Linked DNA regions of Oryzias latipes. The protein of the gene in region 1 purifies or fractionates together with the protein of each later gene. This does not show direct contact. Links are inferred from orthologs where the notes say so. Each region holds a gene or a part of one and is shown on either strand. Other genes may lie near its edges.

Region 1 (6,842 bases):
AGGTGGGCTCTAGACTCCAGAACTTGGCCCTCCTCTTGCTTGCTCTGATGCAGGTAGACTCCAACCTGGCTCCCAATCTGCATTCATTTCCTGTTCCCTGTCTATCCTTATTCATCTAACAACTCTGTCGCACTCTGAGTCGTTTTTCGCCCCTCCACCTTAGATCTGCTCTTTAGTGAATCCACCCGAACTGCGTCTCTACTGTCTAGTTTGACAAAGATTCTTAAAATCGGAAAATCCATGAGGCCGATTTGCGGCTTCTATGTTTGCTTTTTCCAGTAACTAATTGACATCAAGTCATTTTAATTCAAAATGTCCAAAACTTGAAAAGTGCAGTTATTAAGGTGATCTTAAATTAATAAATGTAAAAAATAATTAAAAAAAGATGGCATCACAATGGGAGAAACCATCAAAAAATGAATGGGGTCAAAAAAAATAAAAATAAAGGACGTGTCTGGGATGTCCAAAGGAAGTTTAAAAACTGTTATAGAATGGCCACAGGACTAACTGTTTGATTTGGAAAAATGTTGGTTTTAATGTTTGTAGATTTTGAACACGAGCATTCCCCTTTTACTCGCACAGTTTTTACCAGAATATTGTGAAAGTTTTATACATGGATTGTCGGTTCTGGCTGAACAAAATGATATTACATACAGAATAAGCATATTAGGAATGTGCTTGACAAAAAAAAAAAAAAAACCTCTGTTGCCAAGGAAATCTGAAAATTTACTTTTGCAGATTCTTTTAGAAATTACTTAAATCAGTTCGTCACCTCCAGGCAGCCAAAACATGAAATGGTTGCTATGGAGATAAACTAACAGAAAAGCCACCATTTTGAAAAAGTTTTTTTTCTTTGTTTTTTCATGAGTTTTTGGCACAGGGTGACGGGGGCAGAATGGGAGAGTAAGGGGTGTGTAGAAGCTGCTCAGCTAGCCAAGGCGGGTAAAATTGGGGGCAGGTATCGCCTGCAGCCCATACAACGCCAATATCGGCTTTAATCTTTTACTAGGGTCCGGAAAATTTCACAACTGACAGTGAAGATTTGCATTGTCTAATAAGCTTTATCCCAAAAAATTCTCTAAATCATCTAAAGCCAGTTAAATGTAGAGAAGCTTAAGAGGTTTTCTAATAACTCCTGTTAAAAAAAAAAAAAATGTAAAAAAAGAACTCCCATCCATCATTTCTCGTGTTACTTTTATCTGCAGGTCCAGGAGTGGCGGGTTACCTAACAGCAGGAACTGGCACCACAGTTTTATCCAGTGTCCCACCCCCTGTGGACAATGACGTTGGAGACCTAGGCTGAGGAAGCGGCGTGCAGTCACGCTCAGACACTCGGACTGCCCCGCAGCCTCACCAACGGACTGTCTGGTCAGCAGAAAAAGGTCGGGGAGAGGGAAAACAGAAGAGCGGGCCCTCACCTTTTGTCACAAAATCTTTCAGACATCAATCTCCCTTCTTTCAAAAGAGAAAAAAAAATTATGCACTCAAGTCTTCATAAACCTTTTGTTTTTTAGTGACCACATTTGTTTTGTTTCTATTAATTTTTTCTTGTTTCTTTCAACAACAGAAAAAGTTTACTTTTGTATGAATATATTTTTTACTCTAGATTTTTTTCTAGGCAAACCAAGGCTTGTTATTTAGGGAATGTTTTTCTTCCTCTGATGCGTTAAACTGAAATTATTCCGACGGGATTTATTTGCCTCCATGGTGTCTGGACCTTTTCACCTCTCACATGACATGTAATTCACAAAACTGTCTTTAAAAATACACCAGTAATGGGGAAAAAAATGACTTTTTCTGTTCGGTTTGCGCAAATGAACAACTCTAGATCAAACCTTCGACCTGCATACGTTTTTGGGATCATTACACGAATCTGCTCCCCTTTATTTTCCAGCCTTCGACTCTTCATCATTGATTCTGTTTTCTTTAGTTTAATCTTCTTCCATGACTCATTTTAAGTAATTCTCCTCCCAGAAAGCAAAAAGCACTAGAATATTTATAAATGGAAAAATAACCACCGGAATGAGCTTCTGCTGACCTGAGTGACTGATTAAGAATATTTGTGAAAGACTAGTGCAATTTGTGAAATGTTCCATGTAATATTGCGTATATAAAATTTCTACATGAATGTACATTTAAAAATAAAAAATCTGTCACACTTGTACATAAAATTTTAAGAATAAAAGGGAACCCACAGTGTTGTTCTTTGTATGTCTATTTCTGTTTGTCTAATAATCAAATCTAGTAATCATACTATTGTCAAATATATATTTTTAATTGCTTAACATTCAGTTAAGATTATCTATATTTTTTATGAAAAGGTATCAATATTTCCACTACCTACTGAGTCTAAGTCTTCTTTACAATTTTAGGGTAATTTGGGTATTTCTGTAACTGATTAAATAAACAATCTTTAATATTATTGTATATTTATTCTTACAGAAGACGTATTTGTAGTCTGAATGACAGTTGGCTTTGATACAGATTTTTACAACAAATGTTTTGATGAATTTCTGTCATATAGGGAAAATGATTGTGTGGGAATGTATGGCCCAAAATAATTATTTGGGGGGGGATAGTGAAAACCAAATTGTAGATAAATTACTATTGACGTCACATGCCGGGCATGACTTTGAAGTTGTACATGCAGACATGTAGCTTTTTTAATTTAATTTTAACCAAATACATTTAGGGTGATTAATGGTATATGTTTCAAACTACTATTTTACTAGGACAGTGAGTTACATATGGACACTCTGACGGATATATATTTTTAAAGTTTTATGCTAAATGCGTGCCGTCCCGGCCAAGAAGAAAGATCTCCGATTCCACTCGGACACATTACGGAGTAACACCGGAAGTTACGCCGAAAGGCGCGAACAATGTAAACAAATAACTGCATTTCATTTGGCTGAGCCTGAGGACTTTTTAAAATTACTATTATTAGAATAAACTTGTATTTTTATGTCAATTTATTTATTCATTTTGGCAAAATAGAATGTTGAACACCAACTTACTTTACTTAAGTATTCTTTCGTTTTTGACAATTTGAATGTTAGCTAACCCGATTGGACGTTTTCTGTAAGCTAGTAGTAGTTTTGATCTAAATGAAAGTATAAACGTAGCGACTCCTTGAATTAAAAAAAAAAAAAAAGCATTGTACGCATTACACCAGACTATTGATTACATGCTGTCTGTATTGCGGCCTAAAGGACTGGTCTAAACGGATTTATAGGTAAGTACTTTCCAGTTTAAATATATTCATGATGATGTACTCCTTCTTGAGTCGTTCCATGGTCTGTAACATTTAGTTATGATGACAAGTTGTATTCTTTTGGCACATTTTAAACGTCTTCCCAATTCGGCGTCTTTTTACAGAATAAAATTCGCTAAATAAAAAAAAAAACTTCAAGTTAAAAGTCTAGCTAGCGTTCAGTGCTAACATTGAATGTTAGCTGACTCTGCCGTCCCATCATGTCCAGCAGTTAAACCTATTTCAGCTGTTATGCTGCACCCAGATTTTAGCAGCTTCCAATCCAAACAAACTCAAATGCTCCCCGGCTGTGTTTATAATTTTAATGATTTTTTTTTAAATCCTTAAATTACTGCTCCATCAAATGTACTTTTTAAATTCATTTTGTTTGATTTTTATTGCATGCTGATATAAACATGGCATCAAAAGTTGGGCACGTAAAGAAGATGTTCTCTAACTTTTATTTTGACTCTTGTGTAGACTCAACATGTCCAAAGTGGAAAAGGAGCGCTTTATTGTGAAGTTTGTGGAGAGTAAAGGATCTAATGCTGAATATGCTGTTAAAGCGTATGAGGTAAACACAACTGCACAGTCCTTTCTGCAGACGTTTTTTTCTGGATGTTCATCGATGTATATTTATTTAGTATTTATTATATAATTTTCATCCTATTCTAACAGGCCATTTTGGAGCTGCAGTCTGAAAAATATTTAAAGAAGGTTAAAGAGGAAGAGGTTTTACAGATGGAAGAGAAGGACAAGTCTCTGTTTGTGTTCAGCAGTTTTACCTCTCCTGCCTTTCTGCACTGCAAGAAGGTTTGTCGCCTTAGTGAAAGCAAAATTCCTGGCAGGATTTTTAGGAATGAACGCTTCGTTGCTCTGTGTTGTGCAGCATGGCTGTAGAATCGTGAGCCCCTTGGTGGTTTTGTACTGCCTGCAGCAGCAACGCTGCGTCCCAAAAGCAGAGAAGCCGGTCTACAACATGGCCATGGCTGATGTCACTATTTCCTGCACCAGCCTGGAAAAAGCCGCACGGGTGAGTTCTGGTCTGTCTTTGAAAAATGCTGAGACTGTTGCACCATTTCATTGCAGTTGTGTTATTTGCATGTATTGCACTGATAATGTTTTGAAAACTAGTTAATTAAATCTGTGCATCATTTCGTTTAATGCAGATTCTTGCATTTTTAGGCACAAATATCTCTGCTGTTAGTTTTTGATATAGAGAATAAAAGAAACAGTTTTTTTTACATGAAACCAGAATAGAAACTTTATAATTAGTTGTTGTTTTTTTAGGTTAAATGAAAACCCAAATGTGACCTCATGAATTGACACTAAATCACTTTTATGCTTTCACGGGCCACATAAAGTGACATGGCGGGCCACATTTGGCCTTCGGGCCTTGAGTTTGTTCATGTTTATGTTTTGTCTCACTCTGCAGGTGGATGTGATGGATCTGGTGCAGCTCATGGGTGGACGTGCCTGCCTTGATCTTAATGTGTCCGTCACACATTTAATTGCTGGGGAGGTTGGAAGCAAAAAGTATCTGGTGGCTGCCAACTTGGGTAAACCCATCCTTCTACCCTCATGGGTCAAAGCCTGCTGGGAAAAATCTCAGAATAGGTATGAACTGATTATTTTTGTTTTACATATTTGCTCCTGGGTGGCGCAGTGGTTAGCGGTCTTGCCTCATGGCAAGAAGACCCCTGGTTCAAGTCCCGGCTGGGGGACCTGAAATGGAACATCAAAAGGGGGTCTTTCTGTGTGAAGTTTACATGTTCTCCCCCGTGCATACGTGGGTTTTCTCTGGGGACTCCGGCTTCCTCCCACCGCCCAAAAACATGAGAGTGAGAGTGAATGGGTGTGTGATTGTGGACAGTCTACCCTGTGACAGACTGGCCAGGGTGTCCTTCCCCCACAAGTGGCCGGGATATGCTCTGGCAGCCCCGTGACTCCGAAAGGGACAAAATGAAAGATGAATGAATGAATCAATGAATATTTGCTCCTTTGTGGTCTTTATTATAAGTGCTAATAGTGTATTGTTATTTTTACTCTTTACACTTCATCACCCTAGTTTCCATAGATTACCGCTGATTCATAAAACTAAGTTTCTGTAGAGTTATATATTTTTTATTCTCTCTTCAGCCTTTTTAGATACACAGACTTGCCTATGGATGAATATCTGTGCCCCGTGCTGCTCGGATGCACCGTTTGTGTGACAGGCCTGTCCAGCACAGAACGCAAAGAGGTGCAGCGCCTCTGTGAACAGCACGGCGCCAAGTACAGCGGCCAGCTTAAAATGAACGAGTGCACGCACCTCATTGTCAGTGAACCAGCAGGTGAGACACTAAAATATAGAACAAAACTGGACTATAATAGGAATACCCGATACGTCCTCATTTTCATGAACATTCACTAACACAGTTACGAACTGTTTCATATTGTAATGAGTTTCTCTTCTTTTGTGTCATATTTTACTGTTACTAATAAAGCTTTGATAAAAAATGTACATTTTTTTACTCTACCACCCATCACTGCTGCTTTACAAGCATATTAGTTTGTGTTTCCATAATATACTGTCATGATGAAAGACGTTTGCTCTCACTACAATCACCTGATAAGTCAAAGCAGATTTAGATTCAAACAAACTTATCAATATCATTTTCATGCAGCTGTCTGCCTGCAATCATGGTGTGCCTGATGCTGTTGTGTAATCCTTTAGGGATGCAACAATTCCCTTTGGTTGAGGCTTCAATTTTTGTGTCACCGTTTTGTTTTTGTTTGATATATGATTTGTGTATTACAAAACGTCAACAACAAAAACAACAAAAACAATATGGAGAATTATTTTTTAAATTTGCTTTTAAGCAAGTAGCAATTAGTGTAATGTAATAAAATAATGTTACATATATTAAGTTTAGCACAACGCATGTGTTTGATGCTTACGGTGTAAACGTATTCAAATGTATCCACTTTGTGTCACCCCTCTTAGAATGAACCTATTAGTTTGTTGTTTTCCTGTAAAACTCTTCCAAAAGTGTAAAAAATCTGGAATTGTAAAGGTGATTGTTTTTAGAAAAAGTTTCTCATTATCAAAAAAAAAAAACAACAACAGCGATTTAGTAATGAAGTTAACACAACTGGTGGTGTTTTTGTTCTGAAGGTTTATGTTTTGTTGCAGGTCAGAAGTACGAGTGTGCTCGCAAATGGAATGTGTATTGCGTATCTCTGCATTGGCTATTTGACAGCATAGAGAAAGGTTTCTGTCAGGATGAGAGCAGGTACGCCGTGGAGCGCCGCGCGTCAAATACCAGCCGACCTCACACCTCAACCCCCACAGGCAACGGCAGGAAGGAAGGCGAGGAACAAAAAGGCTCAGAATTCACCTTTTAGACCTTAAAAAACGAAACATCTTTAACGTGTTGTCTTGTGAAACAACATTTGCCTCCTTTAGATGGTCCTTCGCTTTTGGGCTTGAGCAACATTTCTGTGAGTGGCAGTATGGCGATCAACGACACGGCCCTCACCATCAGCCGCCTGGAAACGGCCGATCCCATAGATGGTTTGGATCTCACCGTTTGTCCTGCTGATGACT
Region 2 (6,360 bases), on another chromosome or scaffold:
GAGACAGTCAAAGGGACGGGACTTTTCCCAAATACAGCCGGAGCTGCAGCTGAATCGTGGTACTGTCATTCTTATCAAAATGTCTTTAATAAAATAAAATAAACGCAAAGAAAAAGTATTTTACGATCTTTTATATTCCTAACTCCTCAGTGTTTTATCAGGGCCTGTTTGGATGAACACAGAGCTGAAATCCTGGAGATGGGAAATGTTTTTAGATCAGTTAATGAGGGCAATTTTCCACGGCACACTTGACCATCACACTGGTTGAAAAACATTGGAATAGAACAACATTTGCATTTACATAGTAACACCTTCAAAAAATTGGATATATTCACAGAATAAAACAGCATTGACAATGAATGTCGCAGTTTTTCCTTTTAGTAACTATATTGATTTAAAAGCAGGCAAACTAAAAAGCCTTTTAAAATAAAATGTCTATAAAGTATATTAAAGTTCATTTATGAAATGATCTTCAACCACAAATCAGAGGCTAAATCAGTACTTTTTAAGTTAAAAATAGGAATAATGGTTGGTGGTTGTTTTTTAAATATTTTTTTGTTATATTTTGTATTTAAACTAAAAGATCCACACATGTTGGTGTTCGCTATCTTTTGTATTCTTTTCTTTTTTGTTTTTTGGGAAACAAGTGAATTAATGTGTTTATTTTTAACAATGTAAAAGGAGCAGAAGAGAGTTTTGCCCTTTCTGTTACCCTTTCATCGTCACAAAAAATGTTTGTGTGCTGTATTGTTATATTTACTAGAAAGTAAATGAATAAAATCAAATCTAAAACTTCATCTTTTTTAGTTCAAGGCATAATGATGTAGCTTAAGAGTTTTAATTTTGTATTGCCTGAAACGAGCACTTTCAAAATGTAAAAATAAAAAAAAATTGTCCACTATTTAAACTATAATATATTTGGCATTCTGGTCTGCATCAGAGTTTGCTTCCTTAGATTATCCGCTTCGTTTATCAGGCATAAAACCACATCTACAGTCTGGTGCAGGCCAAATAAGTGAATTCTGGTCCACTTGCAAGTGAACCCTGGCGCGATACGGCAACGGTGAGAAAACAACAAAAGATTTGACCTTTTCTGGGAAGTAAAGCAAGGAGAGTCAGTAATCTTGTGGGTTTTAGTATGAAAAAAAACAAGCTTCTTTTTTTTTTTTTTCTGGTCTAACGCAGTTGGAACAGCCTGATGTTTTGACACAGTTTAATCCGGTTAGTGTGAAGGTAGACCAAACCAAAAAGAGATGTGAAATTTCCATTCTAACTAAATCTGGTGGACTAATAGAAGAAAAGGGGAAATGTAGCTGGAAATATGTAACAAAGAGTATAACCAATACAGAAACATACAGTAGCTGCCCGTTATGATTGGAAAAACACTGCATCGTTACCTTGGAAACAGCAGCCATCAGCCACATGGCCTGCTGCGGGTATGCCAGGAAGACTTTGGCTACGATATTCATTAAAGCAGCAAAGACCTCATCACTGGAATGACACACTCTAGAGATGAGCTGGGAGAAGGCGGTGAGGAACTGGTATGGAGCCAGGTTGGCGCAGTGCTCAGACACGATGGAGTTGATTTTACTGAGCTCCTGTCGCATCTGTCTGTCTGCGCGTCCAGCTGTGAATGAGAGGCGTGAAGAAGCTTCAGTCATGTCGGGCGGTGGATGGCTGGAGGTTTTTGGTCACTCACTTTTCTCACATTCACACACTTTGGCTCCAAAATCCAACCAGAGCGACAGCATGCGAGGCATGGCCTGGTAGATGTACTGGTTTCCAAACTGAAGTGCCCTAAAAAGTACAAAGATTCCACAAAAAAAGAAAAAAGAATTGCAGTGTTTCCCTGTTGATTGTAAGAATTATCTTCTCAAACAGCCCATCATAGGCGAAATCCGGCAAGTAGTGATTTATTTTAGAATAAATATAGATAAAACCCCTCATTACACACTTTTCTCTAACAGACAGAAACATTTTCACACTTTTCTCTCTTGTTTAAACTCTCAATATTCAAAGCTTTGTAGAAAACACGTCCAGTATTATAGAATGACAAAGATTGATGTAAATTTGTCGAGCTGAATGCATTCTGTATAGCATACAGGGCACAAAGGAGACTGACTGGCAAGGTCTACAACCAATTTTCTTCTTTCATAACGGTGGACCGCGATCTAGCCAGGAACCGCTGACGTCACTGTAGTTTTGAGCCACAAGGTGACGTCTAGATAGAGGAGGCTAACGTACTTTCCGAAGAACGTAACGATGTATCGGATGAGGTTTCCTTGCTTCTCCAGCTTGTTATCGGTCACCATTGGCATCACTTTGTCATAGTACTTAGCCAGATAGAAGTTCCCATCCTCCCACTCTGGTAGAAGGTTTGTCACATCCTGAAAAAATGCAGCAGATTTAGAGAAGCACTTCAGTTTGAAGAAGAAAAAAAAGTAGTTTAAATACAAATGTAAAGAGTGATGAGAATATTAAACAATATGACCTTATAGGCCTTCATGATGGCATTAGACTCGAAGTTTGCCGTCTCCTCCATGAAGCGTCCCACCAGCAGCATGGCCTTGCCTTTGGTTTGAAGGCTGCGTGGGTCCATCAGGGGCTGATTATCGGGGAAACACTGTGCCACGCCCTTCTGCAGTACAATCAAGGCCTGGTGGACATCACCCTGATCACAAGAAAATGCAGAGATTTTGTTAGAGATCATCTCTGCTCCTTTGTGGACCTTTGAACTTTGTTCAAAAGTTCAAATAAATGAGTGCAGCGTTACTATGGTGACAGAGCTAAGCTTGTAGTGGTAGGTGGATAAGTTGATGGGCTGGATGCACCTTGGACCAGAGCCACTTGGCCTTCTCTGTGACCAGCTCAGCCAGGTGAGTGTTGTTGGCGTTGAGGAGGGCGTTGAAAGCCGTCTGGTGGTGTCCGGCCTTCCTGGCCACCCGAGCACTTTGGAGCCAGCACTCCCCGACCAGCTCCTGACGCACAGGCCTGAAGCACGGGGAACACAAAATTATTTCCCGGACTTTTAAGTCAATCAAGAAAACATCTATTTTAAACAGCATTCCCAGCATTATGATTATGAGGTTTTTAGCCAAAAAAAAAAAAAAAAAAAAAAAAAAAAAAAAAAAAAAACCTCACCGTGCAGCCCCTGGCTAAAAACCTTTTTTTAGCCAGGGGCTGCACGGTGGCGCAGTGGTTAGTGCTCTTGCCTCACAGCAAGAAGGCCCCCGGTTCAAGTCCCGGCTGGGGGACCTGAACCAGAACATCAATGGGGGACCTTTCTGTGTGGAGTTTGCATGTTCTCCCCGTGCATGCGTGGGTTTTCTCCGGGATCTCCGGCTTCCTCCCACTGTCCAAAAACATGCTTCATAGGTTGATTGGCAACTCTAAATTGACCATAGGTGTGAGTGTGAGAGTGAATGGACGTGTGATTGAGGATGTTCTACCCTGCGACAGACTGGCGACCAGTCCAGGGCATCCCTTGCCTACGCCCAAGTGGCCGGGATAGGCTCCGGCAACCCCGTGACCCCGAAAGGGAAAAACGGTCAAGAAGATGGAGGTTTTTAGCCAAAATCAAAACACCGGTGTCCTCTTCTAGGACATAGTTTCTGCAGAGTGACTGTAGGTCATTAGATATTCATGTGATTTTGGTTCCCCCATCTGTTTACACGCTTTCCAGATAGCTTACAGCTCATCACAGCCCCCAAAATCTAACATTACCGGTGCAAAAAAACGACGAGCAAAATTGGAGCCTTTCAGCTGAACCGTTTAGATCCAGATTCCAGCTCAGACGAGGAAAATGAAGACGTACACGGATCTATCCGTCTGCAAGTGAATGCATTTGCAGGGAGCTCCTTTTTAAACTGCATTTTTTGTCTGCTCTTTATTTAGAAATGCAATTCTAAGCTCACTTTTGATATACATATATATATATATATATATATATGTATGTCCTCAATCATGAGAAAAATGCCAGAAGAACATGTTAAAAACACCAAGAATGACTTTTATCAGAGTGGGTCTTTAGGACTTAAACACCACCTTAAAAAAGGTCAATGTGTTTAAGTTTAATTTATGCCTAAATATAAAATAATGTTTTTTTCTATTAACGTCTTACTGTGGTCCCAGGCTGAGCAGGGCGCGACGGAGAGCCAGGATAGGTTCTTTGGCCCTGAAGGACTTCTGAGTCATCTCCAATCGGTCTGACCAGTGGGGGGGCAGCTGGCTGAGACTCGGAGTGGAGCCCCCAGTCTGCAGCTCAGTGAAGGCGTGCTCCAGCTCACTCAGCATGTGCAGCCTGAACACGCAGACAGACATTTTTCTTTGCTGGAATCAAAAGCTAAAACGGTGACAGGCGGCTGATGTTAAGCACGGACCGGACGATGTATTCGTATCCTCTCTGGTAGGTCCCACACTCATAGCTAGCAGCAGACAGGGGGACCACTTGTTTGGTCCTCACCAGCTTCAGCTTCTCACAGAAAGTCTCAGCGTCCTGCTTTTGCATGGAGAGCAGCAGCTGGCCAAGCCCCACTCCCCAAGTGCTCGACTGCTGGTCTACGGGTGGAAAACAGAAAAACAAACTCAGTCAAAGCTCAGTGCAGAGATGTTTTAAAAAGGAACTAACATAATAGAAAAACAAATCTTAAAGATGGGTCAAAAGTCTATCTTGTTACTTGTAAATATAAAGAAAAATGCAAATCTCTTAAAATACTTTTCAAATCCTCTTTCAACCTAAAATCCTTCAGCTCATGCTGCAGTGTGATGCCACCAGTTTAATCTTATTAAAATGTTGGCCACAATTTTTCCACCCAAATAAAATGAAGATAGTTTTTCTTTAGGCAAAGCTATTTCATTGCAGGTTCTGTTCCTGCCCGGTCCCGCCCATGTGTCGAAGTGTCCTTGGGCAAGACGCTGAACCCCACTTTGCTCCTGGTGGTTGTAGGTAGACGCCAGTGTTTGGCAGCAGAGCCACCGTCAGTGTGTGAATGTGTGTGCGCATGGCGAAACAACCGCAAAGTGGTATTCATTCACGCATTTCTGGGTTTTCCTCTAAAAACCTCCGATAAACGAGCGGGTTCTCACATTGTAACGTAAATAAGTGGGGAACAGCCCCTTCCAGGAAGAGTCTGCGCCGCCAGCTCCACCCCCAGGCTAACAGACACACCCACTTTCTCAGTGCTCAGCTAGCGTTGATGGGCAAAACGCTTTTGTGCACCATTTGCACATCCATCTTTGTAAAAGCTTGGACGTTGTTTGTTTTCGTGGGCAAAACACAGACACGCTCTGGCTTGTCGTCATGAAATGGGCAGGACCCCAACGGAGAGAAAGGTGGTGCATCAGAGATTAAGTCGTCTAAGTTCTGGGTAGATAAATGAGCTGTGAAAATAACTAAAATTTCATTAAAAGATTGTTCTTTTGTGTGCCAAAGGTAATATATTATTATATATATGGATATAATTTACTCTGAAAGGTTTAAGAAAAGCACGACATAAGCCCTTTAAAATAAAATATCTTTTCTTAAAAAATATTCTGTCGTTTCTAATTTTCGTTATAAAAACGGATTCCAGTCTGAAGTTGAATTGGGTTTCCTAGAAACCAAATTTCTTCTTCACCTGAACTTAAATAATCTTCCAGCAGGTCCCACTTTCCGAGCTTCCAGGCTGCCTCCACTCTGTAGGAGTTCAAGTCCGATTTCCAATGCTTCCTAAAGAGGTTTAAGCAAAGTGAATCAACTTCAAATAACTAAGACAGAAGCAGTCAGAAAGCTTTCGTGCTCGTGTCGTACTTGTTGGCTAGAACTCCGTTGACTTGTGTGATGACTGTGGAGAGTTGTCCCAGACCGAGCATAGACGTCATCACGCCATGATAATGGTCAATCTGGAAAAGGGAGTTTTCCGGTTCACCTCCAGCAGATGGCGGGAATAATAATCAGGCTTGAGTGCGGGTACCTGGTCAGACTCCAGCTGTATGGCTCGGTCGTAGCAGGCGGTCGCGTCTCGGAGCAGGCCGATGCTCTCGTGCTCCAGTATCTGTTCCCGTAGCGACGGCTCCTCTCTCCTCAACGCGTTGACGCCCCGCACTCCATCGGGCTCGTGCATGGCAGCGTACAACGTCTGCAACAGCAGCCGCACATTCAGACCCATTGACCCCCTTAAAAACCAAAGGAACTTCAGAGGATGAACTTCACCTGCAGGAAGCTTAGGTGGTCCTGGATGTTTAGCTTGTTTTCTAGGATGTAAGTTTCAAAGTGCATGAGAGCCCGGGTGTACGCTTTGGATCGCAGGGAGGCCTTGGCCAGAATGTCCTGTGGAATTCCCTTCAGGAATGCCACCACGCTCTGGAAATCCCCACTTTCTA

Evidence for each region.
Region 2: the proteins of topbp1 (region 1) and atr purify together in Homo sapiens (affinity purification with western blotting; 8 studies listed by BioGRID). This does not show direct contact. The link is inferred for Oryzias latipes from reciprocal best matches to the Homo sapiens genes TOPBP1 and ATR.

The regions. Positions count from the first base shown.
Region 1 is NC_019878.2:21,471,538-21,478,379, reverse strand, and holds the start of topbp1 (DNA topoisomerase 2-binding protein 1), read left to right. Parts: upstream 1-2,818; 5' UTR 2,819-2,884; intron 2,885-2,890; exon of another isoform or gene 2,891-3,235; intron 3,236-3,733; 5' UTR 3,734-3,740; coding exon 3,741-3,827; intron 3,828-3,931; coding exon 3,932-4,066; intron 4,067-4,142; coding exon 4,143-4,286; intron 4,287-4,688; coding exon 4,689-4,870; intron 4,871-5,392; coding exon 5,393-5,586; intron 5,587-6,428; coding exon 6,429-6,605; intron 6,606-6,701; coding exon 6,702-6,842. Other genes in the region: dnajc13 (dnaJ homolog subfamily C member 13), read left to right, coding at 1,206-1,303. UniProt on the Homo sapiens protein: Scaffold protein that acts as a key protein-protein adapter in DNA replication and DNA repair. Composed of multiple BRCT domains, which specifically recognize and bind phosphorylated proteins, bringing proteins together into functional combinations.
Region 2 is NC_019880.2:5,823,010-5,829,369, forward strand, and holds part of atr (serine/threonine-protein kinase ATR), read right to left. Parts: intron 6,358-6,360; coding exon 6,191-6,357; intron 6,117-6,190; coding exon 5,952-6,116; intron 5,881-5,951; coding exon 5,789-5,880; intron 5,708-5,788; coding exon 5,616-5,707; intron 4,558-5,615; coding exon 4,380-4,557; intron 4,301-4,379; coding exon 4,121-4,300; intron 2,992-4,120; coding exon 2,832-2,991; intron 2,672-2,831; coding exon 2,492-2,671; intron 2,388-2,491; coding exon 2,245-2,387; intron 1,798-2,244; coding exon 1,700-1,797; intron 1,628-1,699; coding exon 1,398-1,627; intron 1-1,397. UniProt on the Homo sapiens protein: Serine/threonine protein kinase which activates checkpoint signaling upon genotoxic stresses such as ionizing radiation (IR), ultraviolet light (UV), or DNA replication stalling, thereby acting as a DNA damage sensor.